Xenopus tropicalis: one gene and its partners. The protein of the gene in region 1 purifies or fractionates together with the protein of each later gene. This does not show direct contact. Links are inferred from orthologs where the notes say so. Each region holds a gene or a part of one and is shown in the gene's direction. Other genes may lie near its edges.

Region 1 (2,135 bases):
AGAGGAACACTCATTCGCTTACACCCTGGGCGGTGCAGTTTTCTGCTAACAGGAGTACTGGCTGGGGGTTTCTGTTAAGCTAACATTTTGACACCCCCCAGTGATGATGGTGATTTTGGTGATACTATAATACTATGATTATAGGTTATGTAGCACCGCAGTGCTTTACAGAAATTGTGCTTCAGTCACATCAGTTCCTGCTCAGTGGAGCTTACAGTCTAATTTTATCAGAAACCAATTAGTCTCCCTGTATATTTTTTGAGTATAGGAAGAAACCAGAATACCCAGAGAAAACCCACGCAAGCATGTGGGGAACATGTGGACTCCTTGTTTGACTGCAATTTAACATAGGATCCCAGAGCAGCAAAGCAACAGTGTACTGGAATATAGTATAGAAAAAGCTTGTTTTGGTTATAACATAACAAAATAAGATTTCTGTATATATAATATAGCAATATCATTCTCTGGCTACACTATAGTATAGTGAAATCATGTGTGCATTGCACCACTTAAAAGGAGAACAAAAACCCACGTTTTATTGATTCAAGTGCTCTGCTGCTGAGCGTTTAAGTACAGAACACTGGAGTGTTAATGGTTTGTAGTGTCATGGCAGTTTGCTCTCCTTTTGACTGCCAAAGAGCTCTATTAAGTGACTGACAATGGTCGTTTAAGTAATCCTGACAGGTCACACTTCATTTTGGCATGGAGCAGAATAGGACTGTGTAGCAGTGAGTAACCTTCTTTTATTTTCTCAATGAAATTAAGAAGTGCCGGTTTCAGAATTCAGCGCAAACTATGGCTTTAGCTTGTCTTTGAAAGTTGATTTCTTTTTGACCACCTATTTGCTATTGTTGCTCCTGTTCTCAGGTTATGTGAATAAGTCCTTTTATAAAACATTTAGAGAGAGCCTCACTTAGTTCCTACCACCCTCACTCAGTTTTTGTCCTCCTTCTTTAATACAGGATGTGTGCCCCTGTCATGGTGGAGCTTGAAGGAGAAACGGACCCCCTACTTATTGCCATGAAGGAACTTAAGTAAGTTTTTCTCATCTGCCAGAGAATATGTAACTGTCTAACCTCCACCTGACAGAGGCCAGTTGGGTATGCTAAACACGGTTTGCATGAATCTTTGTTTGCAATTTTGAAATACTTTTCAATTTTCATAGTATCTAGCTTTGGTTTATGTTCAGGAACTTCCAATATTGAGAAAATTGAGGTATGACTTAAAACCAACACCAAAAACCCATATTATTATGGAAATGGATATATATTTGCAAATTCTAACTGGCCTCTTTCAAGGCCAGTTTGTGACTGCAAATTCTGAGTTACAACTACTGGGATTCTTTGCAAGCTAACATATAATTGAGGATGCTTGTATATTCTAGTGATCTTCTAAAGTTTCTTTCTGTTCCCACAGAGCCAGAAAGATCCCTATAATCATACGACGTTACCTTCCAGACGGCAGTTATGAGGACTGGGGGGTGGATGAACTCATCATTACCGACTAAGACCTGTCGTCAGTCCTTGACTTTCCAAGCCTGAAATCTTTGACACCAGTTTTATTCTCTTTTGTCTTGTTGTACATAATTGTTTTTTATGTAAATGCTTTATTTAATAAAAACACAAAAGACCCTCACACACAGCTATCTGTTTGCTGATAAATATCTGCTGAAGAAAGAGAGAGCAGGCTAAAAGGAAGGGTTACTTTTTGTAGCAGAGACTGCCTTTAGATAGTAACAAAACTGACAGCCTATAGGCCATTTAGTGACTAGAAAACTTGGGCGACAGGATGAATTCTAAGCTCCATGCAAGGAGAATAGCATGCACCTGTTTGCTTCCAAAAATGTTCAAAACCTCCCCCACCATCTACCTGTTTTTTTTTGGTAGAACAGAGGAGCCATTGTATGCCCATGTCTCTGCACTTGTTGCTATGGAAATGCCCATGGAGGGGACACCTTTCTCAGGAGTATCAAAAACCAGGATGAATCCCACTCTTTGTTTGGCCAAATATGCGCTCGGCTGCTTCTACGTTCCTGCCACACCTGGGGAACAAGCTAGCACTGATCCAGGTGCTACATTACTGATGGCCACTGCCGCTAAATATTCCTCACACTGATATTTCAGCTCAACAGCGCA
Region 2 (4,180 bases), on another chromosome or scaffold:
ATGTTGCTCCCAGTGGCCTCAAAGTAGGTGCCTGTTATTACATTTGTAGCATAGAGACTAGTTTTGAAAATACAGAGGCATCATTTTAATCCACTTCATCGGAGTGTGGCTCACAAGTAAAAAAGGTTGGGGATCCCTGCCTTAGACTATAGGCCCACTCTCCGAACTATTTTTTCTCACCCACCCTCTTTATTCTCCTAGTCTTTTTTATTTACACTATTTCTCCTCTCTGTTCCCATTCAGAAATAGGGAATGGCCATGAAGCAGGCCAAATGGTCAGGAGCAGGAGGGCCCACCGACACCTGGGCCCACCGGGAGTTTTCCTGGTATCCTGGGGGGCCAGTCCGACTGCCTGGGCTGCTGCACTTTTTGAAAAAGAGAAACACCATTCCTGTGTAGCAAGTAAGGGACTAGCACAGTGATCCCATTTAATGTTACTCCCTGAGGCCTTAATGCAGGCACTTATTTTTGAATTCCTGGCTTGGAGGCAAAAAATGAAAGTGTATAAAAATAATTACAATATAATGAACTGTTGCCCTGCACTGGTACAGCTGGTGTGTTTGCCTCAGAAAGTCTATAGTTTATATAAACAAAGGTGCTGTGTAGCCATGGGGGCAGCCATTCAAAGGAGAAAAGGCACAGGCACATAGCAGATAACAGATAAAACCCCATTATATTCTACAGAGCTTATCTGTTATCTGCTATGTAACCTGTGCCTTTTCTCCTTTTTCAAGGTTGAATGGCTGCCCCCATGGCTACACAGCAGCTTATTATATATAAATTATAGTAGAGTTACTGTAGCAAACACACAACTTTACCTGTGCAGGGCAACAGTACATTATATTTTAAATACTTTAATACACTTTCATTTTTGGCGTTACTGTTCCTTTAACCGCGCTGCCAACCTACAGGCATTAGTGACAGGGAGGAATGCAGAGTGGAAATTGTTTTCTCAATACGCCAGTATTTGGCACAATCTCTGAGGTTTTTCAAGTTTGTTTTGTTCCCCAACTCATTTTAAAGTTACTAACAGGTAAAAAAGTTAGGGTATCCCTACACTAGAACCACTTTGCTGTGTTCTCCAACTTGCCCCCCCCAAAACCCCCTATGGTTTTGCGCCAGAGTTTGGGTAAACTTAGCACAATCATTCCACAACTTTTTTTAACCATTGATGACAGTCGTCGTAGTGTTAATCAATATTTTACTATCCATGTGATCTCACAGCGCTGCCCAAAACTATATATATATATATTCCCTTCAGCACTAGGGAGGCACTCCGCAGCTCAGTGACGCCTCTGGCCCCGCCCATTCCGGAAGTCGCTGCGCTGCTTGGCGTTGTTGCCATCTCGCCAGTGTATTTCCGGGTTCCTTTGCTGCAGAGCAGAAATGCAGGAAGACGAATTGGAACGGTACGAAGTATATGCGAAATAGAAATAAAATTGCATGCTGCTGCTTGTGAGCTGTCTATGTTTTACCCCAGTGAACGCTTTATAGTGCAGAGACTGCTTGGGTAGTGGGTGAAGGATAAATAATAATATATACATGAATTGTTATGGGACAGCTGTTGCTGGGGAAGTGGGGACTGATTGGGTGCAGTTACTTTTGGGTCCTTGTTAGGAATACATAGGGGGAGATTTACTAATCCACGAATCCGAAACCGGAATGGCAAAAATTCAGATTGGAAAGAAAATTTTGCCGTCTTTTCGTCGCCGCCGCAACTTTTTCGTATTTGTCGCGACTTTTTCGTCGCCGACACGACATTATCGTATTTTGCGCAACTATTTCGTCGCCGTTGCAATTTTTTCGTATTGAGCGATTGTAAACGGCGGAAAAACCAATCCGATTTTTTCGCGACGGCGACGAAAAAGTTGCAGAAAATATACGAAAAAGTCGCAAAAATACCGATCATTGCGAAAAAAACGCATGCGGATGCCTTCGGACCGTTCGTGGATTAGTAAATCTGCCCCATAGTGTTGATCCGTAGGCTATAGAGAGCTCTTACTGGTACTGAAAGCCAGCTGGCCAGACTGTGGTTCATGTATATCACTGAAAGGCAACCAATAGCCCTTTTTGTATTGTGGAATTACAGCTTCCAGGGTTGGTTGTTGCAGTGGGAGTTAAAGTTAAACTACATCAATAAAGCAGCAATTAGAGATGTGATTTTGGTTTTCACTTTTTTGTAAAAAAAAAAAAAAATACTGGCCTTTCTATGTAATTATCTTTCTTCCCTATTAATAACATTGACATCAAGCATTATTTTGACCGGCTGGGTTGGTATAATACCAAGCAGCCATAGATGGAATTAGGATTGTGCACATTTACATGTCTCTGGGAAGCACTGTGCATGGTTCAGGATTTGTAGGTCCCATAGATTTTGCTTAGAACACTCTCAGCCCACTTATAATAAAATAGTAAACCAATAAAAGCAGTTTGGTCATGCAGTTTTTGGTGCCGTTGCCATATTAATACATATTCAGTGTACTTGCCTGGAGACCAAAAGAAGAGACTGCTAGTTGGAGGCAGATTTGTTGAAATAATGGAATTTTTAAAAAAAAAACGTAAAGTATACTAATGTTTAATAATGTTAATAGGCCTTATTTCATGCGTTTGATACATTTTTTGTCCTCTTTAAATTGGTGTAAAAGAACTTTCCCCCCAAAACATGTGTGTAGATTTTTATTTATGTAGCAATACTTATATATGTTGGGCTGTACAGCCGATATTGTTAATGCTAATTTCTTGCTCTTTTATGCCGATGCAGGAAAGCTGTAGAAGAGCTTCTCAAAGAAGCAAAACGTGGCAAGATCCGAGCTGAAACTATGGGACCAATGGGCTGGTAAGTGGTTTCTTTATACAATTTTTAATGATATATGTGCGTGTAACACTATTGTATGGTTAGTAACTGTGTTCATATTAAAAATACTGGTGTGTTTATAAAACTTGAAAAAACTGTTCTCTTCCTTTAAAAAAGGAAATGGGTAGTCAATGGAGGGAGGTGCAAACCCCTCATACAGTTATTATAATCATCATTATTATTTTCACTTAAAATACACTGGCCCTGTGTACTATTCTTGTGAGGCCTGTCCTGTGCCTATGTGCAGCATAGTAAAATGTGTAATTCAATGTGAAATGACAGGTAGGCTTCTCTTGCACTTAAACACAGAGTAGGGCCACTGCAAAGATTCAGAGAACAGCAATAAGATGACTGCATGGCGCTAATAAGGATAATACCCCAAGCCAGTCATAGGTAAGTGATTATAATCTAGGAATCCCAAACCCGAAATATGCTAATTAGGAAGAGAAAGGGGGAAAAATTGCAGCGTGCGCAGCAAAAAATTTTTCCCCCTACCATATAATCCTTACAAACATGGGCGTCCGCAGAAAATTTTCCAAGGGGGGGCAAGTAAGCTAGCATCATCCTGCAACAGACAAATATATATATATATATATATTTAAAAATATATATTTTTTTTTTGCAGGATGATACTAGGGGAGGCTAAAGATGGCCCATACACAGTCCGACCTACAGCTAATGTGACACTTAGTGGATTCGCTGCTGGCGTAAAAAGTTAACCTCCCAACTACCTCTTGCCGTTCCCACTGACTACCAGGGATACTGTACAAAAGTGCGGGTGGGGGTGCTTTTTTTTTTTTACCCTAAAATGTTTAGGATGTAAAAGTATTCATACGCGCACGCGGGATCTGCAAACATTTGTGTTTGTGATCAGTTAGCTTAAAGGGGTAGTTCGCATTCAATTCACTTTTATTTTTAATGGTTTTTCAGTTATTTAGCTTTTTGTTCAGCAGCTCTCCATTTGGTATTTCAGCAGCTATCTGGTTGCTAGGGTCTTATTTACCCTAGCAACCAGGTAGTGGTTTAAACAAGAGATGGGAATATGAATAGTTAAGGGGCCTACTTAGAAAAATAAGTAATACAAAATTATAATAATAATAAAATTGTAGCCTCACAGAGCAATATTTTTTGGCCCCCATTTGAAATCTGTATAGAGGCAGAAGAGAAAGGCAAATTATTCAAAAAAATTAATTAGAAAGACCAATTGCAAAGTTGCTAGGAATAGGCCATTTTATAACATACTAAAGGTTAACTTAAAAGTGAACCACCCCTTTAGATGTGTTTATGTTAGTTTTATAGCAAGAAAGGCAGTGGGTACTGACTCCC
Region 3 (3,500 bases), on another chromosome or scaffold:
TAAAGGTAAACCAGATATTAATTGAACCTATAAAACAGCTGGATATAGTGTTCTGCAATAATCTTCAGTCAAAATGTTGGGCTTTCTTAAAGGAGAAGGAAAGGTTAAGTCACTTGGGGGTGCCAAAATGTTGGCCGAACTTAAACATAGAAGTCGGCTTTTCACTACTGCGCATGCGCTGGCCCACGGATTTCCCCGGCAGCGCGAAGACGGAAGGAGGAAGGCTCACTGCAGGTGCCTCGGGCTGGTGCTGTTTTCTCCTAACAGGGGCACCAGCCCGGGGTACAAGGTAAGCGGTTAAAGTCACTTGGGGGTGCCTAACATTTTGGCACCCCCAAGTGACTTAGCCTTTCCTTCTCCTTTAAATGTAAAAAACTGACTGTTTTCTGGGGAGGACCTGAGGCAAACAATTTTTGTCGAGAAAATGTAGTAGGCTGTTGTCAGTGTTTGCAGCCAAATCTCCTTTTAATTTTGCAGGGCCAGCAGCAAAACAAACTTGGAACTGCATAATTTATAAACTGGTGCTCGCCTGTCTTACTATGTTTGAGTTGTCGCTGAATTACAAATCTCACTTCCCTAATCTCTGTGGATTCTGTAATTTAATTGCATATGTTGACAATCCTCATCTTAAATTGTACTGTAGTTGCTATACTAGAGCTACAGGTACAATCCCTTATCAGAGGATTTCTTATCCACCGCTGCCTGCACAGTTGGTTAATGGACCTTCAGTTGGCTATTCTTAGTGCCAGAATTGACCTCCTTCTTTGCCCAGGCTACCTATATTGAAATAGCCTCATCAGTTAATACTAAAGATTCACTTTATTAAAGGAAAGCCAGTGATGGTACTTCATTTCTTCCCCTCCAGGACAGTCGCTCAGAACACGAGCGTCAGTATTTGCTTTGCCAGAATACCAGCGTGGCAGACAATATGGAACTCACTAAATCCCCAAGGTAAAGCTTTTCCAAGCATGTTCACGTGTACAGTTTTTATCAGTGCTATGCCTAGTATGTGTTGGTTAATGTTTTGTTTCAAATGTAACTTTCCAATGTGGTTTTTAAGTTTTTTTAATATAGATAAGAGTTGTATAAACACATACAGTGATTAAATTTGAGAACTTCTTTCACTGTGTGCCTCACTAGGGTATTGTAAAAGTAAATATAATTGATCAATTACTGTGAAAGCTACTTAGCTATATGGACTAGTAAATAGTTTACTGACGATAAAGATGCCAGTCCTGGTCTAGATCACTTCACCTGTACCTGTATATATACCTGTGTATAATACAATATATACAGGTATGGGACCTGTTACCCAGAATGCTCAGAATCTGGGGTTTTCAGGATAAAGGATCTTTCCGTAATTTGGATCTTCATAACTTAAGTCTGCTAAAAATCATTTAAATATTGACCAAACCCAATAGGCTTGTTTTGCCTCCAATAAGGATTACCGTATATACTCGAGTATAAGCCGAGTTTTTCAGCCCCCAAAAATGGGCTTATAATCGAGTATATACGGCGCATTATGTCCAGCGCTGCATGTCTCTGCTGCCCAGACAGGACTTAAGGTCACGGTGATTCAGCGACAGGTGTGCCTATGTCACTCAGTTTCCTCACATTGTGCAGTATTTGATTGGGTTGGGTGACTTGCCCGTCATCCGCCAGCAGTCGGAACAGTCACATACTGTGTGCACTCCCACAATCCTGTTGATCTATCGCCCAGGCACATAACCGCTGCAGCGCCTCTCACTGCCCCAACCCATGCTGAGAAAGGGGTATCAGTGGGCCATCAGGGTCACCCGCGGGGGGGGGGGGGAGAGAGTCAAGGAGCGTGCCTTGTATATGAGAAGCATGGGGAACTGTTGTGGCACTGTTCTGATCCAGTGATTACTCTGAGGGTGACGGTAACCAAAGTGCACTTGTAGTTGTATTTACTACAGCTGCTCATAGCCTATTACAAGTTTTGTAGGTAGGCCCTATCACATTCTGCTTGTAACCTAAACTACTATTAGACTGAACATGGATTTATAAATTATATAATGTGTCACTTCTTTGTTAATTGAGCCCTAAATACAATGTCCTCAAACTTGGATATGTTAACATTTTGGTGCTGTGAAGATACAGTATAAATGAGAGCTCAGCAAGTGCAGGGCTCCGGTTTCCGGATAAGGGATCCCCTACCTGTACATTAGGGATGCACCAAACCCACTTTTTTGGGTTCTGCCGAATCCCGAATCCTAATTAGCATATGTTAATTAGGATTGTGAAGGGTTGAAAGTTGCCATGCGCGGCTAAACCCCCCCCCAAATTTTAACCCTTTCCGAATGCTAATTAGCATATGCACATTTATGCTAATTAGGATTCGGTTCTTCCGGGGCGGTGGATTCGGTGCATCCCTAGTACATATTTTTAAAATGTCAAAGCTTCTTCAAATAGGGATTTCACATTGAGTGGTTGCTCTGACCTACATGCGCTAGTATTAGAGCTATAGCAAAGAATGCCTTGGGTCTAATAAGCCAGTTTGCTGAAAATTCAAATGCCAGGCTGTTATGGAAGTATTCCTTATTTGTGTCATGCTTATCCTCCACCTTGCCATAGATATTTTTGCATTTTCTTTTTACAAATTAAATAACTGTTTAAAAAGTACAACATTCTGTCCAAATTCTAAGCCTAAATTAATAAGAAAATACATGCTTTTTTTTCCCAGTCCTTGCAATGCAACAGATTTCACTCTCCCCCATTCACACCTAACTTGCACATTACACTGCACTGTGTGGAGTATGTGTGGTAAGGTTACAATGTGTATGTAGTGTATAATATCATTGTGCAAAAATCTTTGTATTTTCTTACACAGGGATTATCTGTCAATGCTGATGCCTCCAGATGTTGAAGAGGAAAAGTAGGTGTTTCTTTTCTCTCTGTCATATTCAATTTTTAGGCCAATGGGGCAAGGCTGTTAGTTTTTTCTGCACATCGTTTAGCAAAGGAAAGATTTTGCCTAATGGTAACCACAGGAAAGCTTCACATTAGTATGTGCGTTTGACACACCTATAGGATGGTTAAGGCTGGTTTGGGTTCAGATTTGGCCTACTATTGCAGGTGTGAGTTGGGTTTGGGTCAGACTAGGGAATTATAAGACTCCTTTGCTCCCTAAGATTCCCTGTGTTGGAACTAGGAGAAGTCAAGTGCTTGTTATGGTTTTGTGGGTATTAGTGTTGGGTGCATGTTGAGTTCTTCATGACTTGTGCAAAACTGCTACAAATGACCTTTCCACTGGTCTTGCCTAGACCAGAGATCCTCAAACTCCTAAGCCATACAGTGGCTTGCAAAAGTATTGAACTTTTCCACATTTTGGCACATAACAGCCACAAACATGAATCAATTTTATTGGAATTCCACGTGAAAGACCAATAGAAAGTGGTGTACACGTGAGAAGTGGAACGAAAATCATACATGATTCCAAACATTTTTTACAAATAAATAACTGCAAAGTGGGGTGTGCG
Region 4 (3,500 bases), on another chromosome or scaffold:
CCAGGTCCTTAGCTCAGGGAAGCCGACAGGCTATCATAACAAAGTAAAAATAGATGATGAGCACTAAAAGTTAAACCCAGTGTTGGATGACCACAAGTATCTGGACATCTACCTGTCCACTGTCTCTGTTAATTAAAACAAAACAAAACAGAAGGGCACCAAAGCACAAATCTATGTAGAAGACATACCAATTCAAGAAAGCAGTCTGGGTGCTACTGACCTTTAGCTCAGGGAAGCAGAAAGACCATAACAAAGCAAAAATAGGTGATGGGTAATCCAATTTATCCACAAAGGGCACAAAATAGTAGTCAAAATCTCTGTTTATAACATTATCTCTACAACCTTACACATATTGTGCCCAAAAACACACTTAATCATAGTTCCACATTATTTTAATGAAACCAAAAGTATAGTCCATCTTACCTGAAGAAACACAGGTATTTGGCCAGTTGCAGCCAAGAAAAGCAGATGTGGCAATGGGTCGCTGCCTTGCTGGGTTCCTTTTCCTTACTTGCCACCTCCCCTTGCTCCTGGATGAGTTTACTTCTGAGTTTATGACGACCACATTTTTGGTCTGATGATAAAGCTTCCAGTTTTATAGTGAGAAGTGGGTCCAAGTGGGTAGAAATACAAGTCTGTGGGTTTGGTGGAATAGCCCTTTGAGATCTTTAGCCAAGGGTATTAATATGAATATGTTATCTGTTATACCAACCCATATTCTTCTGGGAAGCCTTTTTACTGGATGGTGGAACATTGTTGGATTGCTATACACTACATGAAGGAAGTCATGAGATATATACAAAAACAAAATATACAACAACATATACAAAATGTCAGGTGATGTTGATATCTCTTATACCCAGGCTAGGTTATTCTACTGTTTCTTGGGCATAGCACAAGATGGCTGGAAAAGGCAGAGGTAGCGGTCGGGGCCAACTGACCTTTAATGTAGAAGCTGTTGGAATTACCAGAGGGGAAGCACTGCCGCCACCCACTCTCCAACCTCCCCCGTTGTTCCCGGTAAGTTAAGCTCTATACAGCTTTGGTATTAAAGGAAAAGTAACACTAAAAATTTTTAAGTAAAAAAATCTATTCTACCCTGCTCCAATAATTGCCCTATCCTGCACACCGTTTATTATTTTGAATGCTTTATTAGAAAATACCTGCTAAAACCTGGCTTCCGGTCATTTGAAATAAGGCGATGCAGAAGCAGAATTGATCGATCACAGCCTGACTCCTTTGATCGATCCTTGCCTGACTCCTTCCTATACAGAAGGAAGGCTAGGATTGATCGTCGCGTAGTGGATTCTGCTTCTACATCGCCGTATCGCCTTATTTCAAATGACCGGAAGCCGGGTTTTAGCAGAAATTTTCTAATAAAGCATTCAAAATAATAAATGGTGTGCAGGATAGGGCAATTATTGGAGCAGGGTAGAATAGATTTTTTACTTACTTTCCTTTAAAGTGTACATGCTATGTATAGAAATGTACCAAAATAGGCATGAGTGGGGAACATATTGTAACTAAACCACAACTCCCCATATTTTTGACTGCTGATATGTGTTATTGGAGTCAGCAGACTGAATTTCAGCAAGAAGCAGTGAACTACAGGCTCCTGATCCATATCTTAGCATTTTAGTATCTGTTTTCCCTGTCTGCCCATTGTGCACTGCCTTCTATTGCTTTCTGACTTTTTGCCTGTTGGGTGGCAGGATCAGGGTCTGCATTTTTCATTACAGTGCCCAGTTGCCCACCCCTGTGCCTGCCATCCACCTGTTTGCTACTATGGGCCCTTTACAAGTGAGATACATGTGGCCTTCCCTAAGGTATAATGGCCTTTTAGTTATACTGTTATGTTTATAGAATATACATAGGCTTATTTTTCATTTGTCATGGGTTTAAATGCTACTTACCTGGATAGTATTAGGTCTTTATTCATTTTTTTGTACTAATAGGTTTTATTATTTTTTCCTTACTTTCCTAACTTTTTTCACTTGAAAGAAAACCCAGCCATGCTGTGTGTCAGTAGTGCATTGCATACTCATGCTGGAATCAGACTGGACTTTACCTGTCAGTGACTGACAGTAGGGTGTGTTGTTTACAGCTGGGAAACATGTTAGGTTGCGGAACTCAAAAGAAATTCATGCAGCAACTCTATGTACAACAGTTTTGTTAAACATTCCCTGCAGTTTCTTTTTAAAGGACAAGGAATGGTTAAATTACTGGGGGGGGGGGGGCACTCCCTTCAGTGATTATAATGACTTACCTGATACTCTGGGCCGGTGGTCCATTTAGTATAAAACTGCTCTGCCCTGGGGTACTCTGAGCAAGCACCACAGAACAATCCTCTTCTTTCACTTCTTCATTCCTCAATCACCCAGGGTGCATGTGTGCATGTGTGTGAAAAAGCAAACTTGGCTTTTCACTTTACTGAAGTGAAGAAGAAACAAGATGTAGATAATGCAGTGGTGCTAGGTCTGAAGTACCCCAGGCTGCTGCAGTTTTCTGCTAACAGGAGCACCAGCGTGGGGTATCAGGTAAGTAATTATAATTACTGGGGGGTGCCTAACATTTGGCACCCCCTCTGTGATTTCATCTTTTCTTCTCCATTAAGAGCTATACACTGTGTATATCATCCTACTCTCTTTGTTGTTTTGTTCAGAACCTGGAATACAAACCAGTACCCCTGCAGACAGGGGAGGAGGTGGAATATATGCTGGCGTTGAAACAAGAACTCCGAGGAGCCATGAAGACTCTCCCGTACTTCATCAAGCCCGCTGCTCCCAAGAAAGGTGTGTTTAGCTTGGCTCTATTTGGTTGCCCTAAAAAGCACTATATCATTTATTGTTGCAAGGGCAAGTAAAGCAATAGAATCATATGGGCGTGTGGTTTTTAATGCAAATGCCTGATTTTTTACCAGCCCCCCATGCAGTTTTACTTAATCTCCCCGGTCTACTTCTCATGCATGTCTGTGACTCCCCAGGCACACTACCCCCAGTTATGTTATGTGCATGCCCATGTCGTCTCGCTCACTCTGGGAACTTGCACCCTAGGTTGCTTCACTTCACAGTTGCTCCCCATTGGTTAAGGTGAGGAGTTGGCGTAAACTGGCAGCACTTGAAAGCTGAACATGCTATCCTTAAACATGTAGGAAAATAGAAGGGTAAACAAGAACATGGCTAGCAATACATTTACATTAACTAACAATACAGTAAAATACCTTTGGTTCAGCAGCCCTATAACTGCAATGATCCATGCTTTCGAATTTGTATACAGCAACCTCCCATTCTTGGGGTCTTGTTAGGCCATCTTTTGAGTGTCAGTGGCACTGCACATGCTCAGTGTGCTGTTGGATACTGTAAAGAAGGAAACCTCAGGGGTCGTTGGAAATTATGCTGCAAAAATAAGGTTACATTTGTCATAGCTGATGCTACATGGCTGAATGCAGTGCAGAATGCACAGGTTTTTATGACACGGTCACTTTATGGTAATTTAAAGCA
Region 5 (4,158 bases), on another chromosome or scaffold:
GCAATTAGCCAAGCAATTTCTTCATAAGATGGCCATACAGAGAAATACACTTGCACAGATTGTCAATTATCAGCCAAATAGCCTGACCATAGCTACACATATTGAGGATGAATGGGAGGCAAGCTGCTCTGTTATGCCAATGGATCGAGCAATATTCAATGAGAAGTATAATAAGAAATTGTTGCATAACATACATATAAATGTATATATTGATGGTGTTCCTTAATTTTGGTGTGTGCTGCCCCACTGGTTTCTGTGCAGCTTTTAAGTATACATATAAACTTCACAATCATTTCATACGGGAAGGAGTGCAATAACATGTTCAAAATACAATATCCACATAAAGGTTACCAGTGAGTTAAAAATACAGGTTTATCTTACCATGAAAGGGCCAAGCAGATTGCTAAGCAGAGTAAGCACAGCAATGTCCTGGGATCTGGGCAAAGCAATTTATGTCCACCCATGGGAGACCCAGCCTTGACTTTTCCTTGAAGCTCATTCTGCAACTGGTGTCCTGATGTCTGGCTACTGCCAGGAGTATTTTTTAACTCCCTAGGGCCCTTCTTTCTCTGCTTCACTTCAATAGACATTGTCACATTAACCTGTTAATCACCATAGAAATAAAGTCTTACATTTATATGTAAGAAAGATGCAGAAAGCTAAGCTATAATGCACAACTATACATTTTTCTTATTAGACCCATGCACTAAATAGGATACAAAATTAGGCGGCGGCGGCTGCAATCACAACTCAAGGAGGGTTTAGTAGAAATATTTCTAAACTTTCAAGTATTTGTCTGCAGCTAAAGCCAGCCCCTCCCTGTGTATGTGGCAACAGTGCCGACTTGCACATCCAATCATCCTCAGCAGCTGGGGGACAGGGAGAGACCCTGCCTACGGGAGCCTGCAAGGGCAAACCTCAGGGGCTTCTCGTTGTGCCTATCCCCACACGGTCTATCTCACAACGTACTTTATGTTTTTCCAGCCAATGATATTTAATAAATTGTTTGGACCACATTACTCTCTTTTTAGTGCTTGTCAGTGTATATAGTTTCTAGAAACTTGCTTTCTTGGTGACCTGGAATGAAGTAATATTCCGCTTTGCGGTCCAGGGCACAATGTGTGGCGTACTTTGCTATTCATACATACGCTTCAGCATTCTGTTATTTCAAATAATAGTTATATATGTTGTAAGAAAAAAAAAATTATACCTTGCCCACTTTCGCAATGGCCGCCACACCCTTATGTTTCTAGGGATTATGTGCGTGAGGTAATGAAGAAAAGGGGAACGCTGCGCGTAAAGAAATTTTTCCCTGCCGGACGGGTTTAGGTGCTGCACTGTTTCTCATGTGTGCTGGTGGATGGTCGTATAGGCATGGAGGTGTTGGATGTGGAGTTTGGTCATCTGAGTCAGGAGGAGCTCATTGCTCCCGTTGATACAGTGCAGGTGAGACAAGCTTCGGACTGCTTAATTCCCGTTACCTCCCTCTGCTGTGACTCCCGAATAAATGTAGCTGAAGCTAGCAGTAGAAGTGAGTTCAACAACGTTGTTTCAGGAGTCAGAACCAGGGGTGCAAAAGGGGCAGACAAATACAGCTTCCAACCTCTATTGCATTTACAACAATTTTTTGGGTAGACATTCTTAGAATTCCATGCTGCAGCCTTGGTGTTCCTTTGGAGTTCAGGGACAAGATTTGGGGCTGGGGTGGTGCATTATTCATACCATCCAGAGATACATTTATAATGAGCATTTCCCATATCCTGTGGCATTGTGTGTCACTTATGTGAGGCTAATGATATGTCACAGGTGATGAACCAGTCTCTTGCCATCTACCCATTTTATTAAGAATTGGCAGTCATGGCATTTGCCTGTCAGTGCAAACACCTGCTTCTTTTCAGACCAAAAATGCCACATATGACATAAGCCTGGGGTACCAATAGCAGTATTGGGGAGCTCAACTCTCTGTTAACTTACCCAAATGGGTACCCGGTGCAAATACTGGAAGAACCTCACCTTGCATGGGGGGTCAATATCCAAAAGCAAAAAAATCCAGTAGCACACTGAAGTTGCAAGCCGTGAAAAAAGTTGAAGTTGTAGCCTGGGGTACGACTGGGGCACTATGTCCGTTGCATGTCTCCTTCAATCCAGGCATTGGCTGAGGAGTAGTTTATCTGCCAGACAATATGCATATGGCTAGCTATAACATGCACAACCATATAACTGCAGCCATTTTGCCAGGTTAAAGGGGTGGTTCATCTTTAAGTTATCGCCTTTTACTACCTCCTTTCAGCATTCAAATGAGGGTCACTGACCCCAGCAGTATTGTTTTGGGAGCCTACAATTATATTGTTATGGTTACTTTTATTTTATTAAGTGTCTCTCCTATACTTATTTCAGTCTGTCACTCAAACCTCTGGTAGCTAGGAAAAATAAGATCTAGCAACCAGATACAGATAAAGGTTGAAATAACAAACTTGAAAGCTGCTGAACATAAATAAGTAAAATGCCATAAAAATGAATATAAGCATGATGAAAATTGGTTTTATTTTCCCTTTAAAAACCAGCCAACAAAAAGGGCAACAATCACCATAAAATTGTCCTCCGCTAGAGGTGCCTGCACTCTTGTTGGGGAAACAATTCTCTTTTTTTTTTTTTTTTATGTCCCCTGTGAGAGTTAGGCTGCCTGTACCAGGAGATGTGTGTGTCAGTTGTGGCTCTCTTCTGGTGCAATTTAAAACTATTTTAAAGGCTCCGTTAGCCCACAACTCTAGTGGGGGAAACAATTTTAGGGTGACGGGTGTTGGCAAATTTTAAATATCCTATTTGCAAACTGACCTGAAAATTTATTTGTTTTGCAGGAAAAATGGAAACTGCTTCCAGCCTTCCTAAAGGTATGCTTTAAATATATATTTATATTTAGGTTAACAGTTCATAGAGATAATTACTAACCTCAGACTCATTAAAAATGCTCTTCTAAGCTGAAAAATCACTGGGCCAGAGTAGTATTCTGACGAACACTGAGCCACCATCTTTGCGCCCTATCCCAGTGCCCTAGCAGCTGATCTGTGCATGCGTAGTTGAGTAAATGTTTTTCTTTTACCATCTATGTCAATTTTGGCCTAGGGCAGCCATTTAGGATTTCTGGCATAGCAGGCAAGATAGCAGTTTGGTGAAACTCACTAGAATATTACCCTGGGCCAGGGTCAAACCTTCACCCAGTAAATAACCTTTTCCTTCTTCTTTAAAGTAGCTGAAGGTTTAACATTGAATTCGCTGAATGATTCTGCCACAAAACACTACTCTTTGCATGCCAAAGTGAGCAGTCCAAAGACTGCTGCAGTCAGAGCAGTCCAAAGATTGCTGCAGTCAGTGTTTTCTCTTGAAGATGTAATCCATCTCGCTCTCATCTAATGCTTAGTTTGGCATTGGGCATCATTAAATTGGAGGTGTCAATTGGAGTTTTGTCCTGTGAAAAGGATCAGGTCTTCTCACTGCATTAAATGATCCAAATGTTAAAGGAACAGTAACACCAAAAAATACAAACGTAATTAAAATGTTAGGTACTGTTGCCCTGCACTGGTAAAAGTTTTATGTTTGCTTTAGAAAGACTACTATAGTTTATATAATAAGCTGCAGTGTAGGCAAGGGGGCAGCCATTCAAGGTTACATGGTACATTCTCTACTTGGAGTAAGGTTCTCTGAGGCGTCTCTCAGGGTTCTGTACTGGGTACTGCACTTGGCAAATCCATAATGGAGAAGGACCTTGGAGTCCTTGTAGATATTGAACTTGGCTGTAGCAAGCAATGCCAGGGAGCAGCTGCAAGGGCAAACAAGGTTTTGACCTGTATTAAAAGGGCCATAGATTCGCAGGAGGAGGAGGATATACTTCCCCTTTACAGATCGCTGCTAAGGCCCCATCTAGAATATGCTGTGCAGTTTTGGTCTCCAGTGCTGAAACGTAATATTATTGAGTTATAGGGGGCAACTAAAGGGTATGGAAAGTCTCGGTAATGAAGCAAGACTGGCCAAGTTAGGGTTCTTTATACTGGAGAAGAGGCGCTTAAGGGGTTATATGATAACTATGTATAAATATATAAGGGGATCATAATAATAAGCTCTCTAATGCTTTATCAGTAGGTCCTTCTAACTGACACAAGG
Region 6 (4,104 bases), on another chromosome or scaffold:
ATCCCTTATCCCACTGCTACTATGGGCACCATCTCTCCCTACTATACCTGCTATCCTACAGTCACAGTCCCTTCCCAGAGGCTATTATCCCCCCACTGCTACTATAGGCACCATCTCTCCCTACTATACCTGCTATCCTACAGGCACAGTCCCTTCCCAGAGGCTATTATCCCCCCACTGCTACTATAGGCACCATCTCTCCCTACTATACCTGCTATCCCACAGCCACAGTCCCTTCCCAGAGGCTATTATCCCCCTGCTACTATAGGCACCATCTCTCCCTACTATACCTGCTATCCCACAGCCACAGTCCCTTCCCAGAGGCTATTATCCCCCCACTGCTACTATAGGCACCATCTCTCCCTACTATACCTGCTATCCCACAGCCACAGTCCCTTCCCAAAGGGTATTATCCCCCACTGCTACTATAGGCACCATCTCTCCCTACTATACCTGCTATCCCACAGCCACAGTCCCTTCCCAGAGGCTATTATCCCCCCACTGCTACTATAGGCACCATCTCTCCCTACTATACCTGCTATCCCACAGCCACAGTCCCTTCCCAGAGGCTATTATCCCCCACTGCTACTATAGGCACCATCTCTCCCTACTATACCTGCTATCCCACCGCCACAATCCCTTCCCAGAGGCTATTATCCCCCCACTGCTACTATAGGTACCATCTCCCCCTACTATACCTGCTATCCCACAGCCACAGTCCCTTCCCAGAGGCTATTATCCCCCCACTGCTACTATAGGTACCATCTCCCCCTACTATACCTGCTATCCCACAGCCACAGTCCCTTCCCTACCTACTATATTCAATATATCACAGACTCTTCCCAGAGGCTACTATTTACACTACTTTGCAAAAGCTGAACATGCCCTTTGACAGCATTTTGACGAAGACAACTATGTCAAATTTAGAAAGATTAGTAGTTAAACTGGCAAAAAGTAATTTACTCCAACTTTTTAAAAGAAAATAAAAACAGTGTGGCATAAAAAGAAAAACATTTGATATTTAGACAAATGCCAAATTTATCTTCTCTGAACAGACATATTGTATAATATTTATTTTCTGGGCTCCAGCAGTTGCACCTCACTGATGGTGGCTGTGTAATGCATGATTAGAGCTAACTGCTGATAGTTGCCAGTACATTAGTTTTGTGTTCCCCTTTAAGAACACATAATGATCAATGTACAGCGCCTTTCCACTGAAAGGGCTGTGCTTCATGTTGTGTTTAGTAAGCCTGAACACTAACAAAGGGAAGCTCTACCCTATATAGTTTTACTGCTGAGCAGAACCTAATTAGTTTAGAATCAGTTACACTGCCTGATGCTCGTTAGGACTTGCTGACAAGCACTGCCCCCACTGGCTTATCCCTACTGCACCAGGATTTACTTGTGAATGTCATTGTAACGCAGATTTGGTGAATCAGCCGAGTTCTATGTTTGATTCATCAGCGAGAAATTATATCAGACTGAAGGTAAAATGATTCGCTTAAGTATATGAATTTAATATCATGTCTATAATTCTATTAATCTATGAAAACACCCAAATGTAAGATGTGTTAAAGCACAGATATAAGCACATTTTAGGCCATTATAAAATCAGTTACAGTTGGATCAATGATATTTAGCAGCATTGGCACAGATTGGCATATTGGGGCTTGCATTTATTGACTTCTACTGAAGCTGAATGTTGAAATGTTTTTGAATGTATTATTTAATAATGAGTTAAGCTTGTTTGCCTAAAGTGGGCCTATGAAAATAAATGCCTTTTAATATTTTATTGTTCAACTTGGGGTCCTTCAGCTGCTGGAAGCTGCAACTCTTAGTGCTCTTAGCTGGGTGTGGTTGGGGCATGACAGGGAATGCTTTAGGGCAGGACATAGAGAGCTTCTAGTCCTCATCATGTCCTTTGTAGAAGTACAAATAACAATCATTAAAAATGTATATTCTTATATACATTCTTAGTTTTTACATTTACAGTGTTGCCTGTGGCCCTTCTAGTTTTGTTCAACTAGAACATTCAATGTCAGCTGATGACTTTCAGGTGATTATAGCAGCTGTACCTGGGGGCCTATTTAGTGTGCTGAGTAAAATGGCAAATGTCACCATCTGAAAGCCAGACTTTATGCCATTATTCTATGCAAGCTACGTAATTACATTGTTTTTTACACAGCGAAGCCTCGCAATGAATGACGAATTTTGCTGCCATTTTTGCACAGCATAATAAGTAGGCATCTTAGTGTGCTGTAATTGGTGCAAACCCCAGCAGGTGTAATTCATTGCTATCAATTATTTTAATGAGAATGTTGTAAGAATACACCTGAGCTTCACTAAAAAAAGTATATAATTTTAAAGGGAAAGCTATGTTGATGAACAAAAGCTGGAGGGCTGCAATTTGGGCATACCTAATTTTTATAGGGTCATAGCGCCTTAACACAGTGAGGTGAAACATCTCAAAAAAAATGGTACGGCCGACCCATCAAATCAAATGGTACGGTCTGACCCCCCCTCAAATCAAATGGTACGGTCCGCCCCCTCCAAAAAATGGTACGGTCCAACCCCCCCCTCGAAACAAATGGTACGGTCCAACCCCCCTCCAAAAAATGGTACGGTCTGATCCCCCCTTCAAAAAAATAGCATGGTACGGCCTGATCCCCCGTCGGAAAAAAGTGGTACGGTCCGACACCCTCTCCAAAAAAATGGTACGGTCCGATCTCCCCCCCAAAAAAATGGTACGGTCCGACCCCCCCCTTCAAATAAAATGGTGCGGGCTGACCCCCCTCCAAAAAAATGGTACGGTCCAACCAAAATTTTTTGGAATGGGGGTCGGACTGTACCATTTTTTGGAGGGGGGCGGGGTTGGACGTACCATTTTTTTGAGAGGGAGGGATGGACCGTGACATTTTTGGAGGGGGGGTCGGACCATACCAATTTTAAGAGCGGGGGAGGTCGGACCGTACCATTTTATTTTGGAGGGGTAGGACCGTACCATTTTTTAGAGGGGATGGGGACGGACCGTACCATTTTCAAGAGCGGGGGGGTCGGACCGTACCATTTTTTAGAGCGGGGAGTCGGGCCATACCATTTTTAGAGGGGGAGGGGACCGTACCAATTTTTTTCGAGTGGGGGGGGATGGACGTACCAGTCGGACCGTACCATTTTTAAGAGCGGGGGTCGGACCGCACCAATTTTTATGGGGGGATAGGACCGTACCATTTTATTTTGGGTGGGGGGGGGAGTCGGACCGTACCATTTTTTGAGTGGGGGGGATGGACCGTACCATTTTTAAGAGCGGGGGGGGTTTCGGTCCGTACCATTTTTTTCGAGTGGGGGGATGAACGTACCATTTTTAAGAGTGGGGGGTCGGACCGTACCATTTTTAAGAGTGGGGGGGGGGGTTCGGACTGTACCATTTTTTGAGTGGGAGGGGGGTCGGACCGTACCATTTTTAAGAGCGGGGGGGTGATGGACCGTACCATTTTTAAGAGCGGGGGGGGTCGGACCGTACCATGTTTAAGAGCGGGGGGGTTCGGACTGTACCATTTTTTGAGTGGGGGGGGGGATGGACCGTACCATTTTTAAGAGCGGGGGGGTCGGACCGTACCATTTTTAAGAGCGGGGGGGGGGGTTCGGACTGTACCATTTTTAAGAGCGGGGGGGTCGGACCGTACCATTTTTTGAGGGGGGGGGTGGACCGTACCATTTTTAAAAGCGGGGGGGGGGGGGTCGGACCGTACCATTTTTTGAGTGGGGGGGGGGATGGACCGTACCATTTTTGAGTGGGGGGGGGATGGACCGTACCATTTTTAAGAGCGGGGGGGGGTTCGGACCGTACCATTTTTTGAGTGGGGGGGGATGACCGTACCATTTTTAAGAGCGGGGGGGGGTTCGGACCGTACCATTTTTTGAGTGAGGGGGATGGACCGTACCATTTTTAAGAGCGGGGGTGGTTCGGACTGTACCATTTTTGAGTGGGGGGGGGTGGACCGTACCATTTTTAAGAGCGGGGGGGTCGGACCGTACCATTTTTAAGAGCGGGGGGGTTCGGACTGTACCATTTTTAAGAGCGGGGGGGGTCGGACCGTACCATTT
Region 7 (4,025 bases), on another chromosome or scaffold:
CTACATTTCCCTCCCACCCCCCTACATTTCCCTCCCGCCCCCAGGCCCCCCTACATTTCCCTCCCGCCCCCAGGCCCCCCTACATTTCCCTCCCGCCCCCAGGCCCCCCTACATTTCCCTCCCGCCCCCAGGCCCCCCTACATTTCCCTCCCGCCCCCAGGCCCCCCTACATTTCCCTCCCGCCCCCAGGCCCCCTACATTTCCCTCCCGCCCCCAAGCCCCCTACATTTCCCTCCCGCCCCCAAGCCCCCCTACATTCCCCTCCCACCCCCAAGCCCCCCTACATTCCCCTCCCACCCCCAAGCCCCCCTACATTCCCCTCCCACCCCCCTACATTTCCATCCCACCCCAAGCCCCCCCTATACTTTCCTCCCACCCCAGTACCCCTCCCCTGTCCCCTAGATTCTCCCCGCACCCCTCCCTTCGGCCTCCCTACATCCCCCATTAACCCAATTACTCCCCCCCCAAACATCTAACCTGTCCCCCACATTCCCTAACCCTGCCCCCCCCCGGGACCCCAAGCCCCTCTACCCCCCCCTCTCACCCCAGTGCCCCCGCACGTACCCCCCACTCTGTTCCCCACTCCCCCCGGGCCACACATCCAACCACTGTTTACATTGCACTCCCCCCCCCCCCCCCCCGGCCCCCAACATTCCCCTCCCCGCCACCATACCCCACCCCGGCCCATTTCGTTCCCCTCAGCCCAGCAGCCCCCCCCCCGGCCCCCCATATGCCTCCCCCACACACCCCCCAATTGGGCCCCGCACTCCCCCGCAGGGACTCACCGGCAGCTTGGGGTTGACCTCCCCCTTACAGTGATGGCAGAAGAACCGATGCTGAGACACCGCTGCCGCCTCCGCCATGATCCCTACCCGCTCTCCCCCAGCTCCGGCTGCTGCTGCTGGGAACCGCGTCACGTCAGTCCTCCCAGCACCGCCGACTCGCCTACACGAACGTCTCCTATCGTACGGCGGCGCTCTATCCCCTCCAACACCAGCGAGTCTTCCAATCAACCCCTCCCAATATCGGGGCTTGTGAGGCAAGAGTGACCCCGCACGGCGCTCTATCCCCTGCCAGCACCAGCGAGTCTTCCAATCAACCCCTCCCAATATCGGGGCTTGTGAGGCAAGAGTGACCCCGCACGGCGCTCTATCCCCTGCCAGCACCAGCGAGTCTTCCAATCAGCCTCCTCCACTGCCCCCTCAGCCCAAAAGGAGGTTCAAGAGAAGAACGGGGGGGGGTTACTAATACCGGAAGTTGCTATGTGGTAACCAAGGTGACGTTCGGACGGTGTCAGCTGACAGGAAGCGGAAGCCATGTGAGTGCTGTTGGTAGAATTCTGGTGTGAGTTTCACTCTAGGGCTGCATGGAGGCGCTGGCAGAGGATTGTGGGAGCTGAGAGTTGTAGTTCAGCCATAACTTATGATGGTGCCTTAGTTCTGACGGCTCAGACAATTGCTTCCCTACTGCCTGGGCCTCATTGGGCAGATGAGGGGCCTCAGCCCCTGTTGGGACATAAGCTTATAGTCATGTATATGTCTGGCAGTGGGATAGCAGCAGTGATAGTGCATTATAGGGTGTAGTACAACTATAACTATCCCTCTGTTTCAGCCGGTGCCGGGAGATGAGTGCGGTTGAGAGCAAGCTGTGCTCCCTGCTGCTGCAGGAACATTACGGGGAGATTGTGGACCGAGTGGGGACCTTTCTGATACGGACGGGCAACCAGCCGCTGAGAGTGATCGCCAACGAGACAGGGACGTCATTGGATCAGGCAAGTTTAACCCTCTCGCTCCCTGGGCACTGCCCCCAACTAGTCCCCGTCCCTTGATGGACTGTTTTTTCCTCCGACAGGTGAAGAAAGCCCTTTGTGTCCTGATACAGCACAACCTGGTGACCTACCAGCTGAACAAACGCGGCTTTGTCGAGTACAAGGCCCACGTCGACCGCTTCCTGCGCATACTGCGCTACCCGCGCTACATCTACACGGCAAAGACCTTGTACGGGGACACGGGGGAGCTGATTGTGGAGGAGCTGCTGCTCAATGGCAAAATGACACTAAGCGCCGCAGTAAAGAAAGTGGCCGACAGACTGACCGAGACCATGGAAGGTAATGACTGCCGCCTTGGGGTAGCCCTGTGGCAACCTTCTGGGATAGGCAGCCCAGCAACCTGATCATCCCTTCTGGCTGTCAGCTGCCCTGGTTTATATTGTGAGTGTCAGAAATCTAGGGGTGTGCATAGGGGACCCAGCCCCAAGGAGCTGACAGTCTAGTCTAGTGGTAGAATGGGAGCCCCTGTGACTAACCTAAAGAGCTTGCAATCTAGCCACTAGGGCTAAAGTCTAGTGATATAAAGGAAAGCCCTCTGGCGGTCCAAAGAAGCTTACAGTCTAGTTATAAAATGGCACACTCTGTCCCACATAGACTAATATCTATTGGTATAAGGAAATATTCATCTCCCAGGAGCTTACAGTCTAGTGGTAGAATGGGAACCCTTGTGATGGACATAAAAAGCTTACAATCTAACCACTGGGGCTAAAGTCTAGAAATATAATGGAAAGCCCTTTGACTGTCCCAAGAAGCTTACAGTCTAGCTATATAATGGAACACCCTGTCCCACATAGCCTAACATCTATTGGTATAAGGAAATATTCAGCCCCTAGGAGCTTACAGTCTATTGGTAGATTGGGAACTCTTGTGATGGACATCAAAAGCTTGCAATCTAGCCACTGGGGCTAAAGTCTAGTGATATAATGGAAAGCCCTTTGACTGTCTGAAGAAGCTTACAGTCTAGTTATATAATGGCACACCCTATCCCAAATACCCGAGCATCTATTGGTATAAGGAAATATTCAGCCCCTAGAAGCTTACAGTCTATTGGTAGAATGGGAGCCCCTGTGACTAACATAAAGAGCTTGCAATCTAGCCACTGGGGCTAAAGTCTAGTGATATAATGGAAAGCCCTTTGGCTGTCCAAAGAAGCTTACAGTCTAGTTATATAATGGCACACCCTGTCCCACATAGCATAAGATCTATTGGTAAATTGGTTAATATTTATTCAGCCCCTAGAAGCTTGCAGTCTAGTTCTATAGGGGGAAAGTCTGAAGCTGTCAGAAAGAGCTTACAATCTAGTCGCATAACTGGGAACTGTACCGCAAAGAATGTGTACTGTAGAGGAATAATAGGAACCTGCTCAATGCTTTAAGCCCATTAGCTAAGCCCTGTGTATTGTGTTCTCCCTGCGCAGACAGCAAGAGCATGGAGTACAGTGAGGTTTCTGCCACCTTTACCCACCTGGCAGATACACACTTTGTGCAGCGGTGCCCGACTGTGCAGGAGAAGGATGCCACGGAGGGCCGCCCACCACTTGCCCCAACCCTGCAGATGAATGAGAAGGAAATGTACATCGTCCCTAAGCTAAATATGACAGGTAAGTGCCCTTGTGGGGCAGCCGCTCTCCGATACTGCCCGGAGGTGTATACAATGTAGGAAGGGGTGCTACTGGATACCCCTTGTTATGCTGTGCCTATTGTTGCTCTAGGCAGGGGCAAACGCCGCAGATCATCTGATGATGACGATGGAGGCAGTCAGGCCAAGAGACCAAAAAAGGAAGCAGAGGTGGGTGTTCATCGTTCACCCCAATATGGCCCTGCATTCTTGTCTTGCCTGTAACTTACCCTTTCCTCCTTGGTCTCCCTGCCCAGGATAGCCAAGATGATGGCGTCTACTGGCAAGTCAACACGGAGCGGTTCCACCAGCACTTCCGGGACCAGGCTATTATCAGCGCTGTTTCCAATAAAATGGACCAGGTACCTTGTGGCAGAACCCCTTGAGGGGTATGTAGTTTAAGGGGCAGGTATAAACACCTAAATCAAGCAGGTCTTGTATAATGGGCACCAAATACAATCATTGGTTGCTATGGGTTGCTACAACTGGGCACACTTTGGGCCTTATGTTGCATTACCTTCGACCCTTCAGGAAGTAGCGGCAATGTACTACACTGATGCAACAGCAATAAAATGGTCGC

What was found.
Region 2: the proteins of polr2f (region 1) and uncharacterized protein LOC496835 purify together in Homo sapiens (affinity purification with mass spectrometry; 4 studies listed by BioGRID and IntAct, with this or other methods). This does not show direct contact. The link is inferred for Xenopus tropicalis from reciprocal best matches to the Homo sapiens genes POLR2F and POLR1D.
Region 3: the proteins of polr2f (region 1) and polr3e purify together in Homo sapiens (affinity purification with mass spectrometry; 4 studies listed by BioGRID and IntAct, with this or other methods). This does not show direct contact. The link is inferred for Xenopus tropicalis from reciprocal best matches to the Homo sapiens genes POLR2F and POLR3E.
Region 4: the proteins of polr2f (region 1) and polr3gl purify together in Homo sapiens (affinity purification with mass spectrometry; 3 studies listed by BioGRID and IntAct, with this or other methods). This does not show direct contact. The link is inferred for Xenopus tropicalis from reciprocal best matches to the Homo sapiens genes POLR2F and POLR3GL.
Region 5: the proteins of polr2f (region 1) and polr3b purify together in Homo sapiens (affinity purification with mass spectrometry; 5 studies listed by BioGRID and IntAct, with this or other methods). This does not show direct contact. The link is inferred for Xenopus tropicalis from reciprocal best matches to the Homo sapiens genes POLR2F and POLR3B.
Region 6: the proteins of polr2f (region 1) and polr3g purify together in Homo sapiens (affinity purification with mass spectrometry; 3 studies listed by BioGRID and IntAct, with this or other methods). This does not show direct contact. The link is inferred for Xenopus tropicalis from reciprocal best matches to the Homo sapiens genes POLR2F and POLR3G.
Region 7: the proteins of polr2f (region 1) and polr3c purify together in Homo sapiens (affinity purification with mass spectrometry; 3 studies listed by BioGRID and IntAct, with this or other methods). This does not show direct contact. The link is inferred for Xenopus tropicalis from reciprocal best matches to the Homo sapiens genes POLR2F and POLR3C.

Annotation. Positions count from the first base shown.
Region 1 is NC_030680.2:122,156,929-122,159,063, forward strand, and holds the end of polr2f (DNA-directed RNA polymerases I, II, and III subunit RPABC2), read left to right. Parts: intron 1-962; coding exon 963-1,034; intron 1,035-1,416; coding exon 1,417-1,507; 3' UTR 1,508-1,635; downstream 1,636-2,135. UniProt on the Homo sapiens protein: DNA-dependent RNA polymerase catalyzes the transcription of DNA into RNA using the four ribonucleoside triphosphates as substrates.
Region 2 is NC_030678.2:155,277,705-155,281,884, reverse strand, and holds the start of uncharacterized protein LOC496835, read left to right. Parts: upstream 1-1,380; 5' UTR 1,381-1,386; coding exon 1,387-1,409; intron 1,410-2,761; coding exon 2,762-2,836; intron 2,837-4,180.
Region 3 is NC_030685.2:25,097,252-25,100,751, forward strand, and holds part of polr3e (RNA polymerase III polypeptide E), read left to right. Parts: coding exon 1-5; intron 6-865; coding exon 866-951; intron 952-2,851; coding exon 2,852-2,896; intron 2,897-3,500. UniProt on the Homo sapiens protein: DNA-dependent RNA polymerase catalyzes the transcription of DNA into RNA using the four ribonucleoside triphosphates as substrates.
Region 4 is NC_030684.2:128,432,717-128,436,216, forward strand, and holds part of polr3gl (DNA-directed RNA polymerase III subunit RPC7-like), read left to right. Parts: intron 1-863; 5' UTR 864-900; coding exon 901-1,020; intron 1,021-2,662; coding exon 2,663-2,792; intron 2,793-3,500. UniProt on the Homo sapiens protein: DNA-dependent RNA polymerase catalyzes the transcription of DNA into RNA using the four ribonucleoside triphosphates as substrates. Specific peripheric component of RNA polymerase III which synthesizes small RNAs, such as 5S rRNA and tRNAs.
Region 5 is NC_030679.2:16,002,789-16,006,946, reverse strand, and holds the start of polr3b (DNA-directed RNA polymerase III subunit RPC2), read left to right. Parts: upstream 1-1,358; 5' UTR 1,359-1,374; coding exon 1,375-1,446; intron 1,447-2,858; coding exon 2,859-2,891; intron 2,892-4,158. UniProt on the Homo sapiens protein: Catalytic core component of RNA polymerase III (Pol III), a DNA-dependent RNA polymerase which synthesizes small non-coding RNAs using the four ribonucleoside triphosphates as substrates.
Region 6 is NC_030677.2:178,954,538-178,958,641, reverse strand, and holds the start of polr3g (DNA-directed RNA polymerase III subunit RPC7), read left to right. Parts: upstream 1-1,304; 5' UTR 1,305-1,487; intron 1,488-4,104. UniProt on the Homo sapiens protein: DNA-dependent RNA polymerase catalyzes the transcription of DNA into RNA using the four ribonucleoside triphosphates as substrates.
Region 7 is NC_030684.2:141,779,087-141,783,111, forward strand, and holds the start of polr3c (DNA-directed RNA polymerase III subunit RPC3), read left to right. Parts: upstream 1-1,225; 5' UTR 1,226-1,318; exon of another isoform or gene 1,319-1,344; intron 1,345-1,611; 5' UTR 1,612-1,624; coding exon 1,625-1,771; intron 1,772-1,851; coding exon 1,852-2,107; intron 2,108-3,245; coding exon 3,246-3,428; intron 3,429-3,539; coding exon 3,540-3,616; intron 3,617-3,702; coding exon 3,703-3,807; intron 3,808-4,025. Other genes in the region: E3 ubiquitin-protein ligase RNF115, read right to left, coding at 786-863. UniProt on the Homo sapiens protein: DNA-dependent RNA polymerase catalyzes the transcription of DNA into RNA using the four ribonucleoside triphosphates as substrates.